Schizosaccharomyces pombe: one gene and its partners. Each later gene encodes a partner of the first gene's protein in a complex. Each region holds a gene or a part of one and is shown in the gene's direction. Other genes may lie near its edges.

Evidence for each region.
Region 2: pam17 (region 1) and tim44 share a complex: the UniProt entries of both Schizosaccharomyces pombe proteins name them as parts of the PAM complex.
Region 3: pam17 (region 1) and tim16 share a complex: the UniProt entries of both Schizosaccharomyces pombe proteins name them as parts of the PAM complex.
Region 4: pam17 (region 1) and mge1 share a complex: the UniProt entries of both Schizosaccharomyces pombe proteins name them as parts of the PAM complex.

What each region holds. Positions count from the first base shown.
Region 1 is NC_003424.3:1,553,087-1,558,451, reverse strand, and holds pam17 (putative TIM23 translocase complex-associated motor subunit Pam17), read left to right. Parts: upstream 1-3,631; 5' UTR 3,632-3,660; coding exon 3,661-4,071; intron 4,072-4,159; coding exon 4,160-4,238; intron 4,239-4,285; coding exon 4,286-4,317; intron 4,318-4,379; coding exon 4,380-4,451; 3' UTR 4,452-4,865; downstream 4,866-5,365. Other genes in the region: geranylgeranyltransferase type 2 beta subunit Ptb1, read left to right, coding at 131-184, 232-382, 438-554, 609-824, 863-996, 1,042-1,305; U4/U5/U6 small nuclear ribonucleoprotein complex subunit Snu66, read right to left, coding at 1,369-3,318; protein Dbs2, read left to right, coding at 5,239-5,365. UniProt on the Schizosaccharomyces pombe protein: Component of the PAM complex, a complex required for the translocation of transit peptide-containing proteins from the inner membrane into the mitochondrial matrix in an ATP-dependent manner.
Region 2 is NC_003423.3:2,202,192-2,210,601, forward strand, and holds tim44 (TIM23 translocase complex subunit Tim44), read left to right. Parts: upstream 1-3,271; 5' UTR 3,272-3,362; coding exon 3,363-4,646; 3' UTR 4,647-5,182; downstream 5,183-8,410. Other genes in the region: eno101 (enolase), read left to right, coding at 1-365; securin cut2, read right to left, coding at 1,125-2,015; methionine aminopeptidase Fma2, read left to right, coding at 5,541-6,821; acetolactate synthase regulatory subunit Ilv6, read left to right, coding at 7,945-7,971, 8,034-8,171. UniProt on the Schizosaccharomyces pombe protein: Essential component of the PAM complex, a complex required for the translocation of transit peptide-containing proteins from the inner membrane into the mitochondrial matrix in an ATP-dependent manner.
Region 3 is NC_003423.3:883,162-890,857, forward strand, and holds tim16 (TIM23 translocase complex subunit Tim16), read left to right. Parts: upstream 1-3,331; 5' UTR 3,332-3,454; coding exon 3,455-3,503; exon of another isoform or gene 3,504-3,568; coding exon 3,569-3,906; 3' UTR 3,907-4,486; downstream 4,487-7,696. Other genes in the region: SPOM_SPBC713.09 (uncharacterized protein), read left to right, coding at 1,798-1,839, 1,881-3,026; plasma membrane proteolipid Pmp3, read right to left, coding at 4,838-4,981, 5,352-5,381; SPOM_SPBC713.14C (uncharacterized protein), read right to left, coding at 6,955-7,182. UniProt on the Schizosaccharomyces pombe protein: Essential component of the PAM complex, a complex required for the translocation of transit peptide-containing proteins from the inner membrane into the mitochondrial matrix in an ATP-dependent manner.
Region 4 is NC_003423.3:4,018,550-4,026,579, forward strand, and holds mge1 (GrpE domain-containing chaperone mge1), read left to right. Parts: upstream 1-3,967; 5' UTR 3,968-3,997; coding exon 3,998-4,669; 3' UTR 4,670-5,223; downstream 5,224-8,030. Other genes in the region: nucleoporin, WD repeat Nup120, read right to left, coding at 1-218; Fe-sulfur protein Isa2, read left to right, coding at 1,760-2,205, 2,275-2,446; vma7 (V-type ATPase V1 subunit F), read right to left, coding at 2,653-2,879, 2,938-3,073; SPOM_SPBC215.01 (GTPase-activating protein), read left to right, coding at 6,023-8,030. UniProt on the Schizosaccharomyces pombe protein: Essential component of the PAM complex, a complex required for the translocation of transit peptide-containing proteins from the inner membrane into the mitochondrial matrix in an ATP-dependent manner.

The sequences.
Region 1 (5,365 bases):
TATATCTAAAGCTGTTATTTAATTTCAAAAAGAGGAAGGATCGTGAACTGTCAGATCTTACTGATCATTACACTCAGTTTTCAACCATTGCATAACGAACCGTCTACCTGTTCATACAATTGCTCAAAACATGGCAGTTTTACTGAGAGATAAGCACATAAGTTACTTACACGATATTGGAAATGTAAGCGAAAAGAAAATAGTTTAATAATTCAATTTTCTTACAAACAGCGAACTGATGAGCTGGATTTCTGGTTGAAGGAGCATTTACACGTCAGCGCAATATATTGGAGTTGCATGAGCTTCTGGCTATTGAAGAAGAAAGATCAAATTGACAAAGAACGTATTGTATCGTTTCTGTTGTCTTGTTTGACAGAAAGCGGTTAGTTATATTACTGATACTGAAATATTGATACGGGCTGCTAACAATGAGTTAGGCGGATTTGCTTGTTATCCAGGACACGATGATCACATTACGAATACAGTATACGCTGTACAAGTTTTAGCAATGTTGGACTCTTTGCATGTCGTTGACAAAGATAAAGTTGCTTCTTGTAAGTTTCTTTGTATTTGTACATGCGATCCTTAACTAATTTATAAATAATTAGACATTATTGGCCTACAGAACGAAGATGGTTCTATGAAAGGAGACCGCTGGGGAGAGATAGACGCTAGATTTCTATATTCTGGAATAAATTGTCTGGCAATACTAGGTAAATTGGACTATCTTAATAAAAATACTGCCGTGGATTGGTTAATGAAATGCTATAATTTTGATGGTGGGTTTGGACTCTGTCCTGGAGCTGAGTCACATGGAGCGATGGGTATGTTTAATTTCAAAACCCAATTATTGACCTAATAGTTTTTACCTGTGTTGCCGCTCTCAAAATTCTCAACAAGTTAGATTTAATTGATGAAGAATTATTGGGTTGGTGGATTAGTGAACGGCAAGTTAAAGGAGGTGGATTAAATGGTCGCCCTGAAAAGTTACCTGATGTACGAAGATTGCTCTTTGTCTAGCATGTTTACTAATAGTTCTAGTCCTGTTACGGTTGGTGGGATCTCTCACCGTTAGCAATTATTGGAAAATTAGATTGGATAGACCGTAATCAGCTTATTGATTTTCTTCTAGGTACACAAGATGCAGACAGCGGAGGGTTTGCAGACCGAAAAGAGGATGCCACAGACGTTTATCACACATGTTTTTCTCTTGCAGGATTATCACTATTACAGTTTCCAAACATAGAACCCGTTGACCCTCGTTTTTGTCTGCCTTTAGAAGTCACTCAAAAAATGAAATTATAAATGATGCATTATTACTACCACATAACCATAAATTAAAAAAATAAAAACATAAAATATGTACTTTCAGAAAATTGGCTTGCGTTCTTCTCGTTCCTTTTCAACGATACGACGCAAACGCTTTTCTGTTTTAGCTTTACCTGAACCTTTTCCATGAAATTGATGAGACAACAAATATTTGTATGCTTCTTTGGGACCAAGTTCCACACCAAACTCGTCAACATACTTTATGTCCACCTGAGGTTTATAATCATGAAATTGTTCAAGCTCTATCTCCGCAATTTTTTTATCCCATCTTTCATTTTCTTTTTTTGCATACTGTTCACGTTCCTTCTGAGTCATTTTTTCAAATTTCCCGCTGAGACGATCTTGTTCTTTTTTCTTTCTACGTTGCTCCTCCAGTTCAACTCTGGCTTGCTGTTTTCTGGCAAACCATTTATTGTACTCTTCTTCTTTTTGTATTTTCTCTTTCGCTTCATCCGACACTTTAATTACGCCTTTATTCCGGAGAAGGCTTAGAACTGCACCAACATTGTCAGAGACAAGTGGCTCATCTTCTGCATTCTCCTGCTGCGTATTGGCTTCTTCGAGAGTTGCAGAAATATCAACCGAGGTGTCTTCCACTAAAGCATTACTTTCTTCAGTTGGAGAACTTCCAGTAATACTATTGGTATCGTTCAAATCTTTGGAATCTTCAAATGCTTGTTCATTTATGGAACCAAGAGCTTCTCGATTTTCAGTTTCCTTTATGCTATTAACAAAAGCACGCGTATCATCAAATATTAAACCGGAAGCCGTGTCCGAGTCCGTCATATCTGTGACTTCTTCGGCATTCTGCAATTGCTCAGCTACATCTTCTGGCTTAAGTATTTTCGCTCTTTTTTGAGCTAGCCTCCTCTGCATTGCAATTGACTGTTGCAAATCATCATCATCAGCAAACGACTGTGTTTCTAATTCGCGCATACGCTTTTGAATCTTCATTTTCTTTTGTTCTTTGAAAATAGCCGAATCTTGCTCAACTGACAGATCACTGTTACTCTGACCATTCGGTAGCACGAAATCAGATGGGTCATTTTCATTTTCATTTTCTGCATCAAGTTCTACTAGACGCTTTCTCCGATCAGACTTTGACTTTTTCTTTTTTGACTTCTTAATCTTTATTTGTCGATAATCTGATTGTTCGCTGCCAGTGATAGTTGGTTCAACGAAAGAGACAAGAGTCCCAAAAGTTTTTTTATTATCAGATTTATGTTTTTCTATAGTAGAATTAACAGTGAGACTATTTTGTGGACCAATGGTCGTAAAAGTATCTTCAGACGGTTGATCTGCTTCCGACTGTTGAAGAAAATCATTCTCATCTTCATACGGTTTGTAGGGGTTATCTTCCTTCCTTTCGTTTTTAGTCTTCCGCTGGACCATTTCAACATTTTCTAATAGATCATGATTATCTTCGTCTAATATATCAGCATCTTTCAATGTAAGGACTAGACCATCGTTCTTGTTTAAATCTTGAAAACCGTGTGCTATTTTCATTCCTTCTAATGAGCTATTCACATTGGGACCAGCATTTTGCGAATGTAGAGTGGATCTTCTGGGGGCGTCATTCTTCGCTTCAAAATTCAATCCATTGCCATTTTTATTCAATGAGGAATTACGCATTTTGAGTATCCACGCTCGAGTATCGTTAGCATCGATTTGATCATCCTCTTCTGCCAATGTTTCAGCGAGTGTTTTTCCTTGCGTTCTGCGTCTTCGTTCATTCTTTTGCCGTAATTTTTCAAATTTGCTTTTCAGTTCTTCTTCTTTCTTCCTATTTATTTCCTCCTGCTCTTGTTTCTTCCAATTTTCATAGGCCTGTTGTTCTTGATCGACATACGAAGACTTGACTGAAGCATCTGAAAGTTCTTTCTGAGGTTTTTCTTCTGAAATATCTAAGGGTTTGAGGCCTAGCGAAATTCTAATTCTATTGGTCTCCTCAATAGAAATCGATTCAGAGGCGCCTGAATTCCCAGACATTATACTAAATCCAACAGCAAGTGACAGACTTTCAAATGCTGATAAATAAATAATAATATGGATTTTTAATAAAAAAATACACTAAACTTGCAACTGACTCAAGGATATGAATAAAATAGGAGAATGGCGAAATACACGAACCGTAATATTGTTTCAAATAATTTACTTAAACTCTCATTTATATCTCACTAAGCTATTTTAGCGTACTTTCAAAAAAAGTTGCGTTTCCTAGTATGCGTCCGCGCTTGCTAAGGAATAATAAACAAAATACGTTAAAAAGAGAAGAGCAATTGAGGCGATACGTATATGAAGTATACATTTTCCAACAAGCAAGGATTCGTTATGATACCTATTATACGGCCTGGTCTAGTTGTAAAAAGATTACAAAGTCCCAAAATATTTTTAACTTTATGGAAAACTTGTTATAATGTAAAAACTTATTCCACTGAGTCTATAAAACAGAAGAAACCTCAAGATTTAAATTGGCCCACATTCCTGAAATTAAGAAAAAGCAGAAGGATTTTTGAAACCTTAACTTCTATTCCTACTGCACTTACCGGACTAGGATTAGGATCCGCCTATTTTCTTACGCGTACTGTTGACCCTACCATGACTATTATGGGTCTTGATCTATTTACTCTATATGTTATTGGAACTATTGCATCCGGAGGGCTTGGATGGCTTTTGGGCCCTAGTATAGGTAGAAAAATATGGACACTGCTTCATAAAAGTCAAGCGAGACAAATTGCAGCGGTACGTTCATTCCCTTAGATAATAGGGGTTATGTTAGCATCTACGGACTATGTTTTCTGAAAGTATTCTAATATATTTAATTTTTTAGAGAGAACAAGAATTTTACCGTCACTTGGTTAAAAACAGGGTTACACCTCAAATGGAAAGCTATTCTAATCCTATCCCAGGTATGCTGTGAAGGCTGCGTCATGATTGATGTCTAACTCTTAATTAGATTATTACGGTGAGAAAATTTACTCCCTTTCTGTATGTGATATGTGTTATCTACTCATTTACTTTGTACACTGATTACTAACTTTTATGCAAAGGACTATCGACGTTGGTTGAGGGATCAGAAGGCTTACATACAACGGGCATTTTGGCGTACAAGCAATCGTTAAATTAGAAGTGTTGAAGTGATAGCTTGTCATATAGAATTGTGGATGAGGTTCTTTTCTTAACACGATAACTAAAAGGATACAGAAGCATTGCCGTATCAGTATTTGTGAAAAGAAGTTCATCTATTGAAATCTGTATAGTCTCAACTTATAGTACAGACTTTTCTCAAGCAAGTGTTTTTGTCCATGTGTAGAGAAATTCTAGTAATGATTATCTTAATTATAATTTACCGTGCATACAATTTCTTACATAATTTGTTGTACATGTCACTCCTGCTATTGAATTTTATCTTTTGCAACAAGCTTTTGCCGTCTGTTCTATGATTGTTGTACAACTGACATGGTAAAACCATTAGAAGCAGATATTAGAAGATTATAAATATATAACATTTTTGTTTGTAATGCATGACATGCCAGTACACAATTTTAATAACAATTAAAAAATGCATTGGTTCAATTTATAAATTACAAGACTGAAACTGATCAAATAAAAAGAATATAGCTAAACCTTTGAAAACATAATTAATAGTTTACAGTATCAGTTTTAACTTGATTACTCCTCCAAAATTCAAGAACCTTTATGTGTAAACATTAATATAGTTTTGATGTAATAAATTAGCGAAGGAGATCAAATGTTGTTTCGCTGCGCGCTATTTGTAGGATTCGTAGGTTGAAAACGAGGCAACCTTGTATCTACCACCTAACGGAAGTAAACAAACTAGTGAGGGCAATTCATACATTTGAGTTAGTTAAAGCGAACTAACTTGAATTATTTATTATTTGTTAAAGGATGACTTCGGCTCTTTACTCTGGTGGTGGAAAATCTGCAGGATCATTGGAATCGGCACTTGATGAAGAACGTCTCGAAGTTTTACGATGGATGAAAGAAAGAGAAGAAAAAAAGCACCGTCAGCTAG
Region 2 (8,410 bases), on another chromosome or scaffold:
GTGACGATTTGACTGTTACCAACGTCAAGCGTCTTCGTACCGCCATCGACAAGAAGTGCGCTAACGCTCTTCTTTTGAAGGTCAACCAAATCGGTTCCGTCACCGAGTCTTTGAACGCCGTCCGCATGTCCTACGAGGCTGGTTGGGGTGTTATGGTTTCTCACCGTTCCGGTGAGACCGCTGACACCTTCATCTCCCACTTGACTGTTGGTATTGGTGCCGGTCAACTTAAGTCTGGTGCTCCTTGCCGTTCCGAGCGTTTGGCCAAGTACAACGAGCTTCTCCGTATCGAGGAGGAACTCGGTTCCGAGGGTGTTTACGCTGGTGCCCATGCTGGCAAGTACATCAAGGCTGCTAAGTTTTAAACTCTGAGCATACATTAAATTTTACTAATGTTTACAATACATGTTTATTTTTATAGAATGCAATGAAATTTTTATCCTTTTTGCGTTTTGGATTAATTTGCCAGGTTGCGTGTTTATTTATTATTAGTATTAAAGTAAACTGTTGTTGTAGTAGAAGTAGCTGATATAATTGTTTTGTGCTAATTTGCATCCTTTTTTTTTTTAGATGATCATTTTAGTTTTCGTTTATATAGTGTTTTTTTTTCAATCATCTTAATTTTTTTTGGAATGTGTGCATCTGCTGTAAAACACAGAAATTTGTCTTTGACCTAGTACATATTTTTATGTGTAGCCAAAATTTTTGGATACCTTTGCTCTTTATCAGTCACTTTACTACTACTAACACTGGAAAATGTTCTATTCCTCAGCATCTTACCTACTAGTATTTATAATATTCATCAACGTAGAATGAAAATAACAATATTATTAACATAATTCATCTACATTACAATAGTAAAATATTGAACCAGAAAAGCCAAAAAAAAAAAAGCATATAGAAAAGGAAATCATTTGTACAGAAAAGTCATGAACGAAAAACATGTCATAAATTAAGGACCGTATAGGCTTTATGCATTTAAGTAAAAAAAAAAAAAAAAAGAACAGCATTAAAGTGGTGAAACAAATTAAACAACAAGGGAAATCAAAGCCATCGGAAGAATCATACTTACAATCGTAGAAGCGGAAGCCAGTACGCACAAAACCTGAAAATTCGGAATCTTTTTATAACAATCCTGTATCCAAAGATGAAAAATCAATTCGTGAAGATGATAACGAATGAATAGAACGAGATAAAGGGCGCCGACGGCTATTGCCAGATGCAGTTACTCGGGGTCGTGTGAGTTTATGAGATAAGGGTCGAGGGATGGATTTACCAGATGCCAGCTTGGTGCGATAAACGGTACTGAGTCGTGTTCTGGAAGAGGATTGTTTGCTGACAGAAGGCTTTTCGAGAACCTTTCTTTGTTGATCAGAAGCTTTCAAGGTAGCGGGTGTTGTCAGGTTAGTATCCTTTTCTGTTAACGGGGAGTCACCGTCTACGCTGAGCAGAGGAAATTGTATAGGATCATCATCACTGAACTCCTTGTAAACATGGAAATCTGATGCAGGTGTATTACGAATAGTTACTGAGGTAGCCTTATTCTGCATGCTAGGCCAAGGATCGAGCGTTTCACAATCAATTGCAACGTCGTCAAACCCCAGGGATTGAATGGGGTCCAAATGAACAGGAGGAGGCATATATTCGATATCTTCTTCAAGTTCATTTGGTAAAGGAGTGTCTGTTAAAGAGGAACGACGAGGGCTAGCCGAAAGTCGCTTCGACCGCTCTTGTACGGCTGATCGGGAAATTCCTTGTGAGTTTGGCTCCAAAATAGTAGGGGAATCCATCGAAATATCCATAGGAGACATTTTCTTTGTACTGGGAGCAGAAATAAATTTGGAAATGTTAGTACTCTTACCTCCCAGTACCGTTCTAGGAACCGTTACAGAAGAAGGTGCATTCGACTGCTTTGTAGACCCCAATGGTGCTCTTTTGGAGCCCGCTCCTTTTGTACCATTTCTGTTTGATATGGGAGTTACAGGAAAAGCGTTTTCTTTTCCATATGAAAACATGGTTCTTGGCAACATCGTTGTCTATAGTCCAAGGCTGGTTTATTATTTCACAGGTGACATTCAATTGTGACCTGCACAATTTAAAATAGTAAACAAAGCGATAATTTGAAGAAATATGATCACCTTTTAAATTTTTACTTTTACAAATGCATAATAAATTGTTTTGTTTTGTTTTTGAATTGCTTAATTGGATTGAAGATGATTTATGATATTCAGGTTGCTTTTATCGTCTAGTGTTCAAGATGGAAAACCAGTTCTTCATGAAACAAATAATTTTACATTCCAACTATACTATGTTGTAATCATTCTGAATCATTATCAGAAAAGTTGGAAGTGTATTACAACTGATCATTTCGTATAAACTTGATGTTGAATGAATCTAAGCTTTTAAAGCTAGATCTGTCTGCCAAAATTGATCAGTTATGACTTTAAGTATCCCATTTCGTTATTGAAGCTGAAAATTTACAACCTGTGATAAATAATATAGGAGCTTCAACAACTGTTTTCATAAAAAATCATGAAACACATTAATCATCAGAAAAATTCGAGGTTTACTACAACTTAAATGCGCCTTTTGAATTCTGTATAAACCAGCTACTTCCTTATTTTCAAATAAATTTCATCAAAGAAACTTAGGGGCACAACAAACGTCGCATGTTATTAGAAAGAATTACATACAAACATTCTATCAAACTGATAAAAAAAAAAAAAAAGATACAAAATTAAGAGATCTTTAAATTTTTCTAGATTTGAAAAATCTCTACAAATGAATAAACGAAACTTCAAAATGCTAATTAATACTATTGCTTTTATCTCCAAAACCCGCTACATACTCAAATTATCCAGTTCTATATAACGCATTGTAATATATCTATGCTGCTTATTGAATACTTTTTTTCATAACTTCATACGATCTCTTACCACCCACATGGTATCGATTCCCAACAATATTGTAAGCAACAGCTACGACTGTTTCAACCAATACGAAAGGAAATTGATCGGTACTCTTATTCTTTAATATATTAGGATCATGCGTAATTTATGCTTCCCTCTATATCAATATTTTAATAGTTGCATTTCAGATAAAATGAGCGAATTCGTAAAAATTCTAATCGTAAACTCCTCTTAGTAAAGTAAAAAAGTCCAAATATAAGAGAATATGCTAACTTTTGTTAACAAAAGACTACTTCTCGATATTTAGGATTAAGGTATCTTTCCACCTTTGTGGCACTTGAACCTTCCATCCACCACTCACTAGGCTGCTATATCGGTTTGCAATAAAAGGCAGCAAAGTGGATTAATTTTCGCGTAATAGCGTTGAGATTTATTTATTCAATAGGAAAGAAAATGTTTCTATCAAGAAAAATCACAAAAAATGCCCGCACAATAGTTCAATGCCAGCGGTTTTTCCAAACGTCTATATTCTCTCAAAATGCAGCACCTCAATCGCCAATCAAGGTGTTCATGGATACATTTAGAGCAGAATTAAAGAAGAGCCAGGAATTACAGGACAGTGTCAAAGCATTGCAAGATAGTTCAGGATCATTAAGTGAAAGCGACACTTTCAAAAAAGCGAGAGATGCTTACGAAAAAGCGCGCTCGGGAACTACTGCAGCTTCATCTTTCACAGGAAAAACTGTTGGCAAAGCTGGTGCCAAGATTGGCTCATATGCCCAAAAAGCTTGGGAAAGTGCTCCTGTACAATTATCAAAAAAGGTCATTTCAAGCACCGCTAATACTGTAGCTACTGGTGTTGACACTGCCACAAAACCCGTACGTGAAACTGCATTTTATAAAACAATTAAGCAAACAATGTCTGATGGTAGCACCTCTTCACGTTATGGATTTTATGCTGACAAGGAACAACGTAAAAAATTGCGTGAAGAATTTGAACGTCGAAACAGAATGTTTGCTAGCTCGGCAAGGATTCAGCCTAACGAAGACGTCCAAAGCGTCGTCGTACATAGCAACCCGTCGTGGAAGAATAAGGTTGAGCAAATAAAAAACGAATCGCGTTTAGTTCGTAAAATTCAAGAGCTTAAAAAAAGTTATCAGGAGTCTGAACATCCTATTGTCTCCTCCATTCGTGACATGGCCGACAGTATTAGTGGCGTTTGGTCTCGAATGTTTTCAGAAACTGAAGCATCGCAGGTTATGCGACGCTTTAAAGAGATTGACCCATCCTTTAATACCGAGCATTTCCTTCAATATTTAAGAGAATATATTGTCCCGGAAGTTACCGAGGCATATGTTAAAGGAGACAAAGAAGTGTTGAAGACTTGGCTTTCGGAAGCCCCCTTTTCCGTATATGAAACTACTACCAAGGAATATGCGAAACATGGAGTTGTTAGTGTTGGTAAAATCCTTGACATTCGTGGCGTCGACATCATGTCTCAAAGACTTTTACAGCCAAATGATATTCCCGTTTTTATCGTCACTTTTCGTACTCAAGAGGTCCATATGTTTAAAGATGCTAGCAGTGGCGAATTAGTTGCAGGAAAGGATGATCGTATTCAACAATGTACTTATGCTTCTGTCTTTACACGTGTAGAAGACGAGCTTGATAATCCGGAGACAAGAGGTTGGCGTATCGTTGATTTCGCACGTGCACGAGCCGTTGATTATTTCTAAATGCGAAAATATTCCAAACATTTGTCTTTCTATCGGCTTCTAATTTTAACATGTAAACATTTTTTTTGGAATCAGATTTTTTCTTCCTGCATAGCATATTTCGTTTGGGTTATATTTCTCTGTCACTCATATGATTAATTACTATTTAATATTTCAAAAGTTTTGTCAAGTTTGGAAATAACTCTTGGATTTCCTGGACTATGTCCACCATCATCTACTTAAGAAGACCGCTGATATTCCCTAATGATCGATCTTCTTTTTTTTTTTGTTTCTTTTTGATGACAAGTCTAAGCTTGTCATTCTTTTTTTTATCACATTTTTCGTTTGTCTACTTTGAAAAGTCTTTAATGTAGTAGAAGATTTTATTAATTTAAAATCTTTTATTTAACTCGGGTTTTGCGGGATGGGTTTAAGAATTGAGGTTTTGCTATCTTTTTCTTAAAGGATACGCGTGTTTAATACTTTTTCAACAATCGTATTTTAGGACGCGTGCATTTTTTAGCTCAATATCATAATCACTTTAACATGTTTTATAATATTTCCAATAGTTTTGGATTAAATAGTGCAAGAAATATTTTAAATTGGGAAAAATTTGGAACATTTATATTAACAAATAGATGTAGAGAATTTGACCTTTCATAAATTAATAAACGGTTGGTTTTAAAATTAAAATGGATACTTGTTGCTTGATATCCGACTCATTATCCCTTTTTAAACCTTTAATTAAGTAAATCTCAATCCTTTTGTTTGTATATTATAATCTCCTAAAATTGAGGCATAGGTTGCCATGACTACTGGTTTTTGGTGGTAGCACTGTTGTAACCTGTGGAGGTACATATACTCAACTTCCTCCTATATCAGATTTGTTTAGACAGGATTTAACAATCTTAAACAATGACTTCTGCGACAACTACTGAAGCTACCGCTAAAGATTTACAGGAGAAGCTTTCGCTGAAAGAGAACGACGTGGTTGAAGATGATGGAAAAGTAGAGGAAAATGATGCCGCTGAAGAAGGAGCCAGCAATGGAGAAAAGAAGAAAAAAAAGAAAAAAAAGTCTTCTAAAAAGAAAAAGACCCCTCAAGAACAAACCAATCCTCCAACTGTCGGATTGTCCAAGATCTTTGTCAATAAGAAATATCCCGTTGGTGAAGTTTGTGATTATGCTGAAGACAATCTGTGGCGTACAACTGACGAAGAGAAGCGCGCTTTGGACCGACAAAATTTTGATCAGTATAATGATTTGCGTCGTGCTGCTGAAGTACATCGCCAAGCTCGTCAGTACGCTCAATCCGTTATTAAGCCCGGCATGTCTATGATGGACGTTGTCAACACGATAGAAAACACTACACGGGCTTTGGTCGAAGAGGATGGATTGAAATCAGGTATTGGTTTCCCCACAGGTGTTAGTTTAAATCATTGTGCCGCCCATTATACTCCCAACGCTGGTGATACCACCATACTTAAGGAAAAAGATGTTATGAAAGTCGATATTGGTGTTCATGTGAACGGCAGGATTGTTGATTCTGCTTTTACCATGTCTTTCGATCCCCAGTACGACAACCTTTTGGCCGCAGTCAAGGCTGCTACTAATAAGGGTATTGAAGAAGCCGGAATTGATGCACGCTTGAACGAGATTGGTGAAGCCATTCAGGAAGTCATGGAAAGTTATGAAGTGGAAATTAACGGAAAAACACATCAAGTAAAGTCTATCCGTAATTTGTGCGGTCACAATTTGGATCCTTATATCATTCATGGTGGTAAGAGTGTTCCCATCGTCAAGGGCGGTGAAGAAATTAAAATGGAGGAAGGTGAGATTTTTGCTATTGAGACTTTTGGTAGTACCGGACGTGGTGTTGTCCACGAAGATATGGAATGCTCTCATTATGCCAAAATTCCTGATGCTGGCCATATCCCTCTTCGTCTTCCCCGTGCCAAGGCTCTGCTTAACACTATTACTCAAAATTTTGGTACCCTTCCTTTCTGTCGTAGATACTTGGACAGAATTGGCGAATCTAAGTATTTGTTGGCTTTAAATAACTTGGTTTCTGCAGGTATCGTTCAAGATTACCCACCTTTATGTGATATTAGAGGAAGTTACACTGCTCAATTCGAGCATACTATCATTCTTCACCCTACACAGAAGGAAGTTGTATCACGTGGTGATGATTATTAAAAAAATTTTTTTTGTGCTGGACAAATGGTAATTAATCAGTAAAACAGCAACCATTTGCTTGCATTAATATTTTAAATCTTTTATTTTTTATTTTTGATGCGTCCTAATTTTAAAAGAGCTCTTATTTTCGTATTTTTTGATGTTTTTATCGCTCCTTTCCTTGTTGTTTGATTGATTGATCAAGGAGTCCTAAATCCCTTTCAAATCATGTACACATTTTCCCCCTTGTTCACTAAGTCTATAGGTAATTATGATAGTTAAGCAAAATTTGTTTTTGTATTGTAATTCCATGGGCATTTCTCGTATTTCCATACTATTGAGCTATTCGATGAACGGAATGGTGAGCCAACATATCAAGCTCTTTAATACATAAAAAAAGTTACAATTTCATTATTATTTAACCAATTGCGAAACATCAGGGGAGTATGTTTATTGTATGATTTTAGTAGTTTCTATATTGCATGCATAATAGTTATTTACAAGCTTCAAACAGAAAAACCTTCATTTTATGGATACTTTGTAATTGTAAAAAGGTATAGCTTGTTTATTTATAACGAACAATAGGAGTATTATTCTGCTAACTCATAGTATTTTGGAGATACTCTCGTAGTTCATGACTATAGAATTACATTTCAGAGGCTAGCTATTTAGTAGTAAAAAAAGGGGTAAATTTTATCTTATTATAATTTTTTAACAGCCATGAGATTTTCTAAAGTCCACTATTGAAAATCGATCCAATTTTCTCTAATCAGTGCAAGATCAGTATACTCCAGATCTCCGACATCTTGAATACTGTGTCGGTTGAATTTTTTTTTTTTTTATGAAACGGAAGGATGAAAGAAAAATAAATAAATCCATGAAAATGCTTAATATTTAAATGCCTGTTTAAAAGTATATCTTTTGGTAAAGACTTGCTTAAAATTGAATGCCTACAGCCTTCAGACTTATGATTTTTTTGTTACACGCACAAAAGAAAATAAAACATGTTTTTATAAAATCAACTAAATTGTAATATAATATGCGCTATCAAACGTATCTAAAGTTGTAAGTTTGAATAACCGAAAAATTTCCCAAAGCGTTGAGTTCACACTACCCTAGTAACAACATTCTGCGCTTAACCACCATGTTCGCAAGAAGATGCGGCCGTTTGGTATGCACTTAAAAAACATAATATGTGCTAAGAAAATAAGCTAACTAAACAAATCATATTAGGCCAATCGCTTTGTTCGATTGAAATCAACCTCTGCCACTTCTCCCATCACATACAAGGCGTTGCATGCGAATTCCCCCTTGCCTCGTTGTAGGATCATTGAGCCTCCTAGGGCTACTGTTCCAGAGGCTGTTTCTAATGTAAGTTATTGAAGAAGTTTTCAATGAATACGTACTGTCAGTATACATGTGAGCGAAGTCAGTTGTAAAATAAGGCGGAAATGGAAGCGGATTATGTGATAATATCATGTTATTAAGGAATTTAAATTTGAATAGGAGATAAAGATTAATATGATTTTTTGTAATTTTTTTGGGCATCTTTGTGGATTTTCTTTGGAGATACGTTTTAATGAATGTGATGCTGAGTTAAGTAGCTTATG
Region 3 (7,696 bases), on another chromosome or scaffold:
TGAGTAGCATAGTATAGAAAAAGGTGTCAACGAAGATTTATATGAGCTGTGAGACAAGTATCGAAGCTATCATCATTGTTTAAAATTGTTCATTATTTTTACATTACTTTGATTTGAATGACAGTACTACGCTTTTTGTTGTTTTCCTCATCACATCGCTTTTTTAAATAATTGTTATTGTATTCGAACAACGATAGTGCTCTAACTTAATGACTAAAACACGCTTATTTGTAAAGGCGTGTAAGTATTACTATTCTCAGAGCAACAAATCTCAACTGATTATAAATTGATTGCACAGCCCATTGATTCATTAGAATTTTACAGGTTATTTCTGTCGTTGCTCAAGCTTTGAAAAATATACTTTTGAATGATTCTTAAAACTTACATTATCGCATGCTTGGTACACTCGGTTGGCTTTAATGATGTTATAAGACAATTTCAAGTTTGATGATACAAAAAAGGATTCTGATCCTCGAACTGAATCTTCTTGTTTATGCATAAAAAGCAGATACCGACTACTTAAAGTCAGCAAATCTGAAAAAATAAATTATCATTAAATTTTTGTCAAATTTACGAATACTGACTTCACAATTTGCTATATAAACTTGAAGATTTATTGCATTAGCCAACAAGAATACTATATTTCTATTTTCTTCCAAGATGTAGCATGGACAAACCTAAACAGTAGTCGTTCTATATTTTATAGCTATTTAAATAATTAACTATATTACCCATCGCACAGAATTACATAGCATATTATTTAAATCTTGGATATACGCTCTACAAGCATTGCTATACACTTTCAGTGGTTTTTAAAAACATGTATTAACAGGATTCCAAGCAAACTTTAGTACGCATCCAACACAAATAGGAAGTCTACGATCACACAAATTACAGCGATATAGAATTTCGCGAAAAGAATAAACCATTAACTCAAGTAATTTCAAAAGGTTCTTTGTTAACGAATCTGTTTTAAATGTAATAATAAATTTTAATCTATAGCAAATATGTGGACCTTCTGACACTCGCGTACAAGTAGGTTATCTTGTTAGCAAGCTCTTAAAAGATCCATTCATTTATATACGCTCAGTGAATAGCAAATACGAATGCATAGCAAAATACCATGCGGGTAAAAAACCTTCCTATTCGCACTGTCTTGAGCGAGTACGGTAATGTAAAGTGACCATAATACCACTTTATATAGCAAAAAAATACTGTTACTTCAATAGTGACTATGAAAAAAAGCAGTCGCTAGATGAACTAAGTCACAATAATATATTGATCGATTAAAAACTCATTAGTATAGGCATAGTCAAAGCTAGTTGAGTCTTTTAATAAACCGGATTATTTAATCCGTTTGAAGTTGTAAAGAACTGTAAGCGTTGCCAACGTTGATTTTTATTATTCACGGAATCGATCTTGAAAACAAAGGTTGTATTTACTTTCTTTTGCTCTTTAAACAGTAATATTATCATACACATAGTAATCTTTAAAAACTAATGAAAGGATTCTGCTCTTGCATTAACTTTGGAGAGTATCTTCCTTCATTTTCAAACCGAATCAGCGTAATAAAATATACCTATACTCTCTAGCGTATAAAAAATATGAATCCATTTTTTTAAGTTTTTCATTCATCAAATATATATTATATTTATGTTTCTACTTTATTTAGTATGCTTGGTTATCCGTGGACTTGTTAAGCCTCACGCAAACTTTCCCTACTTACCTATACTTTACTGATTCTGCCCACACTACAACTCCCTGTTGATTTATTTTCATCTTGTATCAAATTTGAAGATGTCAGATCGTGAAGAAAAGCTAGCTGCAGCTAAACAAAGGGTATGCATAATATTTTGTAACATTTAACTTACGAGTGCTAGTTGCTGGAGGTCAAGAAGAAAAAACGCCAAGCTAAATCTAAAAATTCAGTTGCCGAAGATAATGTTGACCGCGAATCTAATGATGGCAATAATCAAGTAAATGAGCCTACAGGCAATGACAATACTCAAGTAGTTGAAAACACTGAGGATATTTCTGCTTCGAATGTAGTTTCAGCTGAAGGTGCTGAGGCATCCACCGGCGATGCTTCTACTCAGTCTCCGGAAACATCTGAAAATGTCGTTAAAAATTCTGTAGATGAGTCGGTTGCGGAGAAGCCTGAGAAGGAGGATTTAGCGGTAATAGAAAGTGAGGATAAAGCAGCCAAGCCTGATGGTGAAATAAAAAAGAACGTTGAAACAGAGGTCACTTCTCGAAGTACAAGCAGTCAAGAAAAAGATGAACTAGAAAAACAAGTAAAAACCCTGCATGATCTTAATGAACAAAAGGATAAGAAAATCAAAGAATTAAAAGAACGCATTAACGACTTAACTTATGATTATGAAACATTAAAAGCTAATGCGGATGACAGTGAAGGAAAGCAGACACTCGTATCCAAAAGAGAAGCCGCTCTTGAGGAATTCCAGTCAAAACTGTTAATCAGAGAGAATGAGATTAATAAAAGAGAACTGAAGATGAATGGAAAAGAAGATGATCTTAAAAAACGTGAAAAGGACCTTGAAAATCGTCTATTAAAGGTTGAAGAACATGAGAAAAGTTTAAATGAACGTGCCACGAAACTCAGTGAAGCTAACGAGAATTTCAATAATCGTTTCAAGGAGTTTGAGGAGCGTGAAAAATCCGCGATAAAGCAAAATAAAGAACAAAGCTCTGAAGGCTCTAAAACTGCTAACCAAACTCATGAACAAAAGGAGTTGATCAACTCATTGGAAAAAAAGGTTTCGGACATTGCTTTAGAAAAGCAACTTTTGGAAGAAGCTGTTGAACGTTATAAACTAGCGATGGTTGAGTTTGCGGAATGTCAAAGAAGGCTGAAGGAACTTGAAGCGATGCATTTTGAACAGCCTGGCTCCGTGACCGAGAAACTTTTTCCAGATCCTACTAACTTTGAGGTAATCGATAACGTTTCAATTGACTTGACATTGACTGGATTTCCCGGTGCTCACGGCATTCCTTTTTCAGTATGAAGTTAAAGCTTTAATATGATATTTATTATTAAGTCACTATGTTTAAGCTCCATTACCATACTGTTTCAGCGAGTATAAGAAGCCCTAATGAATAAGATGATTTGAATTTACAATCAGTTTACATGATCTTTGAATTGTGACGAGTAGTAAAACAAAGTAAAGAATATAAAGCAAATTCATAATATATTAATATTTTTTTGTCTAAAATAGTGAACTTTATGCTTCTTATTATTAAATCAAGGTTGTAATTTGGAAGTAGTATTAGATTCTTTGATATGAAATCTGCCTTATAAGGAATTTTTACCACCACCCTTTTTACAAGAAAATTTGTGAAAATTCCTGTTTAGGGCATGTGTATGTCTGAAAATAAAATAAAGGAAGACATTTATCATAATTATTTGTTCAAAATTACTATATTACATTAAAAAATGTCGCTTCCAAGGGCTGTCGGTCGATTTATAATTGTTGGTTCGCAAGGTATGTTTGTGGCCATTCTCCTATCAAGGATTTATTCAAAAGATTAAAAACCCTAACAATATTAGTAATGAGCAAAGCTTTTGTACAAGCTTATAAGCAAATGATTGCTAATGCAGCTCAACAAAGTACTGGTCAAGCTGCTGCTTCCAAATCATCAACTGCTGTTCGTCGAGGTGAAATGACTATTCAAGAAGCTGGTAGCATTTTAAACATTAAGCCAGAATCATTAGAAGAAGGAGAGTTAGAAAAACGATTTCAAAAAATGTTTGAGATTAATGATCCTAAAAAAGGAGGATCTTTTTACCTCCAGAGCAAAGTGTTCCGAGCTCATGAAAAATTGAAAAGTGAACTGGATCAAAAAATACAAGAACAATCCCCAGCGAAACCAACCAGTTCACCTTAAAACTTTCTTTGATTTTGGGTTGCTAGCTATTGCTACGTATTTACCGACACGTCTACCTTAATTTAATGTAAAATGGAATCTATCTTTTTTTTTTTTTTAAGAAAAAAAGAAGCAATGGGATATATTTTTGTTTACGAATAGTTGAAGAAATGTGAGGAGGTTGATATCCTCATATTTTTTTGAATATGCCCTGTACTATGATAAAAGGAAAATTAACACTAGTCTAGCTATCCACATACCCTCAATGCCGTTAAACCAGAGCCATATATTGTCAATGTGATGAGAGATGTACATTGATATGGATTGACTTCAAACGAGAGCCTGAGGTTAAGCCAAAACTTACTTTTCGACTTTTAACTGTCGCTGGCCAATCCTTAAAGTTAGACTGGGCTGCGGGCACCATGAAGAGATCAATAATCTAATCTATTCCCAGATATCAATCATTACACACTACTATTGAAATACATTTTGGTTACAAATAATGAATAAGACACAAAAAAAAGAACCGTTAAACTAATATATTTAAAGAATATAAGTTCCAGTTGAGCAAATGATAAAACATTCTTTTATGTAAAACAAGAAGACTATTGGGCTATAGCAAAAAGTATACGGTAAAATCATTCGCCCAATTATGGATAAAAAAAGATATCATGGTTAAGCACAGTCGATTTTGGGAAAGGAAAAAAAAATGAGTGCAAACAACCGTGATACTATTTTGAACTTTTTTCTTAGTAAAGAAAATCCGTTTTTTTGTTTACTAATACAAAAGCCATGATATCCTCACAACATTTGGTATTAAATGAAGCGAATAATAAATTCCTAGAACAGACAAGAGAAGAAGCAAAGAATACACATGTCTATTTCACTTTCCTTTATAAACATGATAAGTAGCGAAAAGAACAAATATTAGAGGATTGAAATAGAGGGATGCTTAGTATTTTAAGATGATATAGAGAGCGTGAATAATACCGGGAACGTAACCAAGACAACAAAGAAGAATGTTGATAATAACGTCAGCACCACAGCCACGTTCCAAGAAAACGCCCAAGGGAGGGAGAATAATGGCGAAAATTACCTGTGTCATATATTAGCATTGAGTCAAAAAGAAGCGAAATTTTTTTTTTATAATACCAAAAAAAAAAATTTCGTAGTAAAATGTAGCTATAAAAGAGAAAGTAGAAACCAAGACACTTGGCGAAATCAATTTGATTTAGTAACAACAATGCGATGTGAGCGATTCAAAACAAGCGCAAGCATAAACACAGGACAGGCGACAATTAAAAGCATGTCATTTCAAACATTAACGAGTCGCTCAGAGTCAAAAAGTCATGAGATGTTGAAACAAAACAACAAGAGAAGTTAAATCGAATCAACTCAAATCAAAAATGAAAGCCAAGTTCAGTAGGATCCTGCACCTTCTCCATATATGAGCTGGAAAAACATACCTTGAAAATATCACTGCCAGTCAAAGCCATTTTTAATTAATAAAGAATAAAAAAAAATGGAATAAAAAAAGAAAACTTTTGGTTATACCGAAACTTTGTGTGAAATGTATGGATTTCTGTTGTGTTATGGAATTTTTAAAATGTTGCCAGTGATGCTGTATATTTATACGAAAAAATGCCAGAGGCCCAGCGATAAGTGACGTAATCCTGTCGAATGCAATGATGCTAACATTTTCTAAGCTCGATAGACACTAGGTAAAGAAATTTCTCCTTTTGACCATACAAACAGGAGAAGGCAACAAAGTACACAACTTGTAAAATGATTATTTACCGAAAAAACATTTTGGTTGTCCAAAGGGTTGTTTGATTCATTTGTTGGTACTTTACCTTTGTCTCTAATTTATTTGATGGTTTTACTTGCATACTTGGTTTAAACGAGCAAGTTTGTACAGGCATATACGTAGTATATGAAGTAGTTTGCAAATCTACACGAATATGAATTAAGCCCATCGTTTACACGAAACTTTGTATGGGTAAAAAGTGTCTTGTCGAAAATGAAGGCAAACCGAATTAGCTGGGTATTCATAAAAGGTATTATTATTGATTGAAAGGCGTAAAATATTTTTGCAAGGATAGTAATAAAATGGTTGTATTATTTTTAAAACAGTTGGTTAGATATAGTTAAAGTAAAGAAGATAGAAAGAGAGAGAGAGAGAGAGAGAGAGAGAAAAAAAGAAAAAAAAAGGTCGGAAAATAACAGAATCATTTTATTATTAATTATATTAAATTATATTTAATTTTCTATATCTCTAACATATAACAACAATGAATTTATTTCAAACCAAAAAGAAGGAAATGATTTCGAAATAAGAAGGAAATGATTTTGAAAAAAGAAGGAAATGATTTTGAAAAGTGTATAAGAAAATTTTTATACCAAAACACTTTTTTTTTCTGTTTTTATTTTCATTTTAATTTATATCGAAATATTTATATTTTTTTAGCTATGTATATTACTTTGTCGTTGTTAAACAAATCTACATTCTGCAGCTATAATTCGTAAGTACGGGTGGAGCACAGAGTACATATGGATGTTGCATGCGGAAAAAGACGGGCGTAGTAGATTTATTATTTGCGATAGAAATATATCAACATGCCGTTATCAATACAAAATGGACGTATTCCATTTTTATAAGTGGACACTTTGAAAATAAATCAAGAAAAAGCGATGCAGAGCTGGCATGAACGGACCTTGTTTCAAGCAAAGTATAGGCTAGACAATGAAACGAAAGGATGCGACGCAAAGAAGCCCAGTCAGCAAAGTCGGAGAACCAGCCACTGCACGTTACTTTGGAAGCATTCTTACAAATATTGTTTGGTATTGCATTGCACTGCATTTTGAATTTCTTTTCTTTTTTTTTTTTTTTTTTTTTATTCTGTCGGATTGGATTTAATTTCATTTTTCTGATTTGATATTATTTATTTAAATCTTTTTTTCTTATTTTCATTTCAATTCTTTTTCTACTATTTTACTTTCTGCATGCTAAAACGCCACACAACTCACTAGCCCCTTGGAATATGTGTGGATGTATGAAATGATGCATTGCTATGTATGTAAATGTACCAGTGTCTGTGCTTGATGAAAAACACTGGTACCACAGTGAGACTGATGTGTGTAAGATGACATAAGTGCTAGGTGGTTTGGCAGGGTTAGTGGGTAATGCAGAGAAACGTAGGTAGACCAGTCAAAGTTGGGTGCGAAAGAAATAGGGTAAAAAGAAAAAAAAAAAAGAACAGGAAAAAGAACAGAAAAATGTCTTTCAAGAAATTGCATTTTAAAAGAAAAAATGTAGAAAAAGTAAAAAAAAAAAAATTAAAGAATAAAATGTGCTTTCTTCCCGATATTGATAAACTAGCAAAGCAGACGAAATAACAAGGCGGAAAGACTGCGATCGGCTGGCTAAGGGGAATCATCTGGTAAGGGTAAATCGTCTGGTAGTGTAGGTTGTTACCATTTGTTATTTTCATAATTTTCATCTTTGCGAGGGATGACAGTTAATATTAATGACTTTTTTTTTTTTTCGCAATAATAAATTCTACTGTTTCGTTTTGTTTTTTCTATTTTTTCTTTGTTTTTACTCCCTTTTCTTTTCTTTTCTTGCTTTTTGGTTTTTTTGCTTTTATCTTCTCTCTCGAGTGTTTTTCAATTCGGTCCACATTTTCTCAAGACAAATCTCATACATTTCTACTCGATAGGATACTGCTCAACGGGATACGCTATTCTGGAGCATAGTAAATGCAAGCAGTATATATGAATAAAACACTCAAATAGGATATAGAGATGCAGA
Region 4 (8,030 bases), on another chromosome or scaffold:
AAAGTTTGTGAACCTTTGCTTTTATTTGAGGTATAAACACCTGCATCATATGCTACACATTCCTTTTTAAAAAGTTTTTCATTATCATCAGCTGTTTCTATAGCTTCAGAATCGTCTTCCGAGTCGTTTTCGAGAGCTGGAACCCACAACGCCAAAGTTCCTTCCAGACAAAAAGATTGTAAGTCTATCGGAACTACCGCATGCTTTAATTCATTCATATTTTGATTTTATTTTTTACTGGTAGCGGTAATACCAGTAGAAATACCAAACAAATAGCTAACAATAGGGGGCAGTTCTGGTTGAGTATCGTAGACAACGACCTACACGAGTTAGCGTAAGACAGGCCAGTCCTACAACGAATTTATGAGAAACGCGTAAATACGAGTATATTTGTAATTCTTTAGCTTTTTAGGGTAGAGGGAGATGGAATGTAAAACTGAATTTTCTTCTTGAAGATTAAGTTCCTTAATAAAATAGAATCATTTGATTGTGGATGAAGAAAGCTAAACAATTTGATAGTTTTTATTAATCGAGCAATTCCTTTGTATTCATAATAATAAAAAAGGAATCAAATATTCATTTAAAACTCAAGAGCTTAAATGGATTCTCTATTTTATTTGTGAAATTACATACAACAGTAAAAGATCTTCAAGATATCAGAAGCCTTTCTTAGATTATTGTTAGTTTTTTTTATTATTTTTTGTATACCTGTAACTTTTTAGCTGTTGTTTTAAGAGATTAAATCTATTTAAATTAACAGTACTCATCTTTAGGGTCTTAATTTACAGCCTTTCAATCTTTTTTAATAAAATAGTTTTCTAATTTTCTAGTTTTGTTTATTTTTAAATTTTGCAAATTCTTAGTAAATAAAACATGTAATATTTTCAACCATACGTTAAATTGTAAATTACATTTTAATAAATATTAATTACGTGCAAGGGTGAATTATTGTTCATTGGCATGCAATTTATAATTTATTTTTTTTATTGCAGATACAACCAATTCTAAGTCTAATAGCCAAGATCTCTTATACCTGATTCAATATTACAATTGCGGTGATATGTGCTTGTACGAACACCCGCAACTTTATAGTAATTAAGCGGTAGTACATACACTGGTATCACGATAAAGAATTAGCTAAAGTAGAAGATTGTAGCAATGGCATCAATTGTGATAAAGACATTTTCTGGATGTGATCCACCGGTCTATGCTAGAATTAAAGGATCGACAATAAATATCCAGAAGAAGAATTAACCAAATGGGTTGAAATTATCTCTAATAGCTAAAAATCTATTCATTTAAAACTGAAAGAGAATTAAAGGAGTAGGAGTACCAAAAGGTAAAAATAATCCAAAGATATTAATTTTGACTATAAATCATCACAAAATTTAGTAGCATACAACATAAGTAAAAAAGAACATTAAATAATTCTAGATATATTTGATAAATTCCCCTTATTCTCTACTAGCTATGGGTGTGAGAGTTTTGTAAGTTCGAATTCAATCTATCCGATATAAATCTCTTAGAGATTGGGTGTTAACTAATAGGTAAATCCCTGAATTTGACTTTAGTCTATGACACACTCGTCAAGTTATGACTATTTCATTTATGTACTTAACTTCTCTATCTCATAAACATAAGCACCAATTTGGAATATACTGAATTAACGAAACAGAGCGTAGGCAATTTGACTTCTATTACGTTACTGTATGTTTACAAGTTAGAAAGTCCTAACTTGTGGCTATAATACTTTGCAGTGATGCTTATGAAATCGCGAGTAAACTTATTGTTTAAAGGACCATTTTTCTTTCGAGAACGTTGTTTTCAAACACTCTTAAATCCTGTGATCGCAATTCGACAGCTATCGCATGGATCGCTTAGAAATTCTCGATCATGTAGAATTGATGCGAAATCGAATACATTAACGAAAGAAATATTTCCCAAAATAAATAATGAATTCAAAATCAAAAATCGATTTTATAGCTCAAAGCTTGCGAACGACCAATTCACGCTTCAAGAGCAATGTGACGAGAAGGGAATCCCTTTTATTTTATACGTGAAAGATTCAGCGAAAAAACAGTTAGAAAAAATTGCAGAAAGGAAACCAGAAGAAAACTCTGTTTTGCGCGTCACTGTCGATGGTGGTGGATGCCATGGATATCAAGTATCTTTTCGCATGGACAACAAAATTGGAAATGCTGACACGTAAGTGATGTGGTTAAGAAGACTATAAGTTTTAATTAAGTATTTCCTGGTTATTGACTAAATATCTAGGGTATTTGTGCGTGGAAAAGCCAGGGTTGTTGCTGACAACATTTCATTACCTTTGATAAGTGGCTCTGAAATTGAGTATACAAATGAACTTATTGGTTCCTCTTTTCAACTTTTAAACAATCCACGTGCCAAGACTTCTTGTGGTTGTAATGTCAGTTTTGATGTTGAATGAGATTTATACTTAAAATAATACATTTCTCTTATAATCACTTTTCTATTTATCAAATATAGTTTAACAAAAACTCTGCTTACAATTTTTTGCTAGTATGCCAGTAAGTAAACCAAAAGATACAAATATAAAAGTGTCATCAGTCAAATCGATCGAGTTGTTGACTAATTGAAATTATTGCTCAAAAAATATAATTAAATATTAATAGTCTATTCTCCAATGATCTTTCTAACACGACGGAGGATACTGTCCTTTTCAGGATCATAAGGATCGTCTTTGCTAGGAATTTCCAATACAGCAGGGAATGCCTGCACATGGTTTTCAATACGATCACGTATTCTTTCAGCGGCAAACTGGTTAATCAATACAATCGCAATATCCTTCCTTTTCGTAGTATAATCATCAAAAGCTTCAGCAATCTGCTCATCTGTAGTCTCTACATAAAACAGCAAGTTAGCGAAAACACGATTCCATTTTTTAACAGATAATCTTACTCTGAGTAATTATAAAAAAGTTTTTGTCACCGTTTTCATTTACCTGACCAGTTCCAGCTAAAAGCATCCCAGTAACGGTATCATCGTCTCCAATTACAGAAACAAGTGTCCGTTCTCGATATGATTGTGAAGACATGATTTAGAGAGATAAGTATTTAGAAAATCTAGGTAAACGTCCAAGCAGGAAAATAGGAGAGTATGGTGCTACTTGAAAGCGCAACTTCTGGACTAGTAGGCGATTAAAAGTGTTCAGTGGTTGAATCGTAAATTTTCACAAAGCTTAGATAAATATTTAACAGAAAGCTATGGCTCTGCCTCTACAATCCTCAAATGTATTCCTGAGTTTAAGTAGTGATGGTGGATGAAAGTGTAAGGTCCAATACCGATAAGACATATCTGACACTTAACTAAGGTACCTTTTATTATGAAGACTTCTGTAATTAAGAATATGATATTATTATAATAGGAATTTGTGAAAATTCGACTCCCATAAATTGTTCAACAAATATCATTATGCAAATAAACTGATGAATGTAAAAATAATAAGATGGCCCAGATGACACAAATAGGATTATTTTAAAACTTAAATTATAATATTCAATTATTTTACTTTCAAAGGCTGCGAAGTAAGTACTTCGATATAATCCAATGCCGTAAAGCATACCAAGAAGGATATAAATATAGATGAGAAATCAGTTAATTATTATCTGTTGAGAATGAAGCTGAAAAGAATAAATTAATAATTGATAAGCATATGAGCCGTTGTTGGCTTCCAGTGTTGAGCAAATTCGAAATTTGGGTTGCTTTCCTACATGCATGTTCAAACCTACAATCAATTTGTTACATATCGAAATAGAAGCTTTAATTTGAGAAAAAAGTGTCATTTATATATTTTTTGAATCAGCTTCCATCTCAAAGTCCATACCTCATTTAACGAAACATAACGAATTTTTAAGTTGATGAAATTGATATTTGTAAAATTTAACAGTGCTAAGTTCACAACACCATTTGTCTATAGTGTGACACAGTTGTCTTTTACCACAAAGCTCTCACTGAAACAATGCTTGGGCTTGGAAGAGTATTTTCATCCGCTGTACGTCCTCGGACGCTTATTCGAGCACCCATTAATAAACGCAGTTTCCTTTGGTACTCAACTGAGGCTGCTAAGGAAGAAAAGCCTGCTGAAGAAAAAGTTGCCGAAACAGAGAATGTTGATGTTAAGGAACTTCAATCTAAGCTTTCTGAGCTTAAAAGTAAATATGAAGCAAAGGACAAAGAGGTTGCGGAGTTAAAGGGTAGCATTCGCCAAAGCTTAGCTGACTATCGTAATTTGGAAAACCGCATGAAGAGAGACATGGAGCAAACACGTGCATTTGCTGTTCAAAAGCTTACTAAGGATCTTTTGGATTCTGTCGATAATTTGGAGCGTGCTCTTTCAATTGTTCCAGAGGAGAAGCGTAACAATCGTGAGTCCAACAAGGATTTAGTTGATCTTTATGAAGGTTTAGCAATGACTGAATCGAACTTAATGAAAACCTTAGGAAAATATGGTTTAGTTCGCTATGACGGTATCGGAGAAGATTTTGATCCTAACATCCATGAAGCTGTTTTCCAAATCCCTGTTGAAGGTAAAAAGCCCAACACTGTCTTCCATTGCGAAAGCAAGGGTTTTCAATTGAATGGAAGAGTTATTCGTCCTGCCAAGGTTGGTGTTGTTAAGGGAGACGACTAGAGGAGCTAGTCAAAGATGATAGCAAGGAGCATACGAATACGTCGTTTCACCTATATTATTTTAATGACCAATTCGGGGTTTTTTTTTATTTTTAAACTCTCAATGTTTGTCTGGAAAGTCCTTTGTGGTATTATTGGATTTTTTCAGTCTTTTCAGGGGAACCAGAAGTCTTTCTGTGCAGATGCTTTTTTCTGCAAACTAATAGTCAAAGACAGATCGTAAAAAGTTTCATTGCATTTTTTGGGCTATGGGTACATTATTATATTTTTACCGAGGGGACTTGAATCCAATGTTTTTGTGTGGTTTGGGTTTATTGTTTAGTGATTTGCTATCACAACATAGTACCTATTTTTACTTACATTTATAAATAAAATTTTTACTCTTTAATACTATAGCTTTCACCCAAACTGGTTAAAGAATTTTGATATTTCCTTCTAAAGATTACTCAAAAGCATTTCTTTAAGAGTTAAAAGTGGAACCAAGTGGAAGGTATGTATTCTATCATTTAGTTTTATAGAATATTAAAGTTCCGAAAGTTGATATGTGCTTTAACGGTTAAGCCTCCTTTTCAAGTATTCGTAGAAGTTAAGCTAGTGTTCTGTATTACAAATTAGTAAGGAATTTTGACTAGTTTAGATGATTTTTTTGTTTTTTATAAAATAGATATGTAATAACAAACTTGCTAATAAAGTATTGATTGGAAGCAGCTAGCCTGTTCGAACTAAGCCATAGTATAAGACATTACTCAATCAGCCTAATCTAATAGATAGATATTCAAAGTTACAAATGATAAGCATGAGATCGTTTGTGGGTGATCCCGTTGCTTTTAACTTTATTAAGAATCTAGTCAATGAATAGTTTTTAATCCAGCACTGATATCGTCAGAATTGCATATTCGAGAGATATATTCATTTTTTCCAGCTCAGTAATTACACTATTACTAAATAAACTCACTTCTTAGCGATACACTACCGCAAGGGTTTACGTCTTTATTTAGATCAAGAAATGGTGCCTTGCATACTACTCGAACGTGGTGTAAAATTTACCCTTACACAATAAGTGTTGCTTGGCAACACGTTTTGCTTTCTTTCCTTCTATAGAGTTTTCAATAACAGGAAAGATAAAAAAAGGGGATCTATCACCCTGAGATCTATCGAGTAATTTAGAATTGGGTCATTTGCTAAATTGCATCTACTTTTGTCTTATCGACACTGAATCTTTTGAAATTCTGATTTAAAATTGAACATTTTTTTATTTTTCTATAACTGTTGATATATTAAGAAATAGTTGCTTCAAGAACCTTCAGGTATTGGCTTTTAAGACTAGCTGTTGAGTTCGAAGAAAAGCCTAGCTATGTCTTCTTTAGCCAGTCTTATAAAGACGAAGCTAAAACTTCCTGATTCCTCAAAAAACTTAAACAAATTACGATGGAAGTTTCGACTTCTTGAATCTCAATTTGCCCTCTACAGTTTGCCCTGTCAACTTCGATTTGTCCACTATAATAACTTGGAAGACCCTAATTCATTTAATGGTCTGCTTTATTTATTTACTGATTATATAGCTTTTCAAGGTGATGATGAGTCTAATCAATTTTGTATGCCATATACTATAATTCGAAAAGTTAGTCGAGTGAAAAGCAATGATCTTGAGCAATTGTTGTCGGTATCGACAAGCAATGGTTACGAATACAGAATATCTCTGCAGGTTTCTGAAACCACTGCTGCACATTTTTGCCAATTACTGAGAGAAGAGCTTGTATCTCACAAAGCTGATATGCAGCGGTCCTCCGAGTTTAGCAAACAGTTCTTTTCTGAACGCCTTTGCAAACCCAATGTTCCCGAACCAGAAACTAAAGATTCTTATGGATTCGGTGCTCGATATGGTTATCCCACCGATCCTCGAATCTCTAGAGAACGGGCAAAGCTACGAATGTGGAAAGAGTATTTTTTACTTTATGGTGCAAATCTTTCGTTAATCAGAGTTTCTCTCTTCTCCAAATTGGTCCGAATTGAATTGCCCAATAAACTTCGTGGTGAAATATGGGAGCTTACATCAGGCTCCATGTACTTTCGTTTAGAGAATTCAGATGAATATGATCATCTTCTTAAAGTGTATTCTGGTCAAACATCTTTTTCTTTAGAGGAAATAGAAAAGGATTTAGGTAGAAGTCTTCCAGAATATCCTGCTTATCAAAATGAAGAAGGTATCAACGCTTTGCGAAATGTTTTAGTAGCCTTTTCTTGGAAAAACCAAGAGGTTGGTTATTGTCAGGCAATGAATATTGTTGCAGCTGCTCTTTTAATTCATTGCACCGAGGAACAAACCTTTTTTCTGATGCATAAGATTTGTGAAGATTACATTCCGGGTTATTACTCAAAGACGATGTACGGCACTCTAATTGATCAACAAGTTTACGAAAGTTTGGTTCAACGCTCAATGCCTAACTTACATGCGCATTTTGTAAGCAAAGACATTCAACTTAGCATCATTTCTTTGCCGTGGTTTTTGTCGCTTTTCCTTTGCACAATGCCTTTACCGTATGCGTTTAGGTTGTTAGACTTTTTCTTTCTAGAGGGTCCAAGGGTTTTGTTTCAAATTGGAATGGCTATCCTATATGACAACGAAGCTGAAATTATGAAGGCTACAGAAGACACTATGTTGATATCAATTTTAAAAAATTATTTTTCATCATTGGGAGATAAGGCTTATAAAGATGCAACAGATAAACGCGTTGCCTCTATCACGAAGTTTCAACTTTTATTGGTAACTGCTTTCAAGAAGTTTAGCCATATAACACACTCTTTAATTGAAGATGAAAGGAAAAAACATTACGAAGGAGTTATGAATTCTATTGAGTCATTTGCAAAGAGAACACAAATTAGGAGTTTACAAAATTACGGTACATTAACACGTACGGATTTAAGTAATATTTACGACCGTTATCATGAAGTATTGTCGTCCAAACATCGAGTTGGATTAGGCAGCTCTACTGATACACGGTTGGAATTTGACGAATTTTGTATATTTTTAGCAGGAGTTACTGAATGGGCGAAAGGTTTGGATGCAGCGGCTATCAATAATTCATCATCCTTTCTTCGTCATTTGTTTTTACGATTTGACAAAAGCATGACTGGATCATTATCTTTACAGGATTTGGTGTCCGGTATTGCAGAATTGAAATTTAGGGATGTAATGCGCAATATATCTTTTATATTCGAGCTTTATGACTTTAATGGAGATGGTTTTATGGATAAACCAGACGTTTTGAAGGTTTCAGAAGCTATTCTTTGGTTAACTAGGTTTATGGGTGATGAGTATCTATCCGCAGTTAGCGAATTCATACAACGCTGCTTTCATTTTG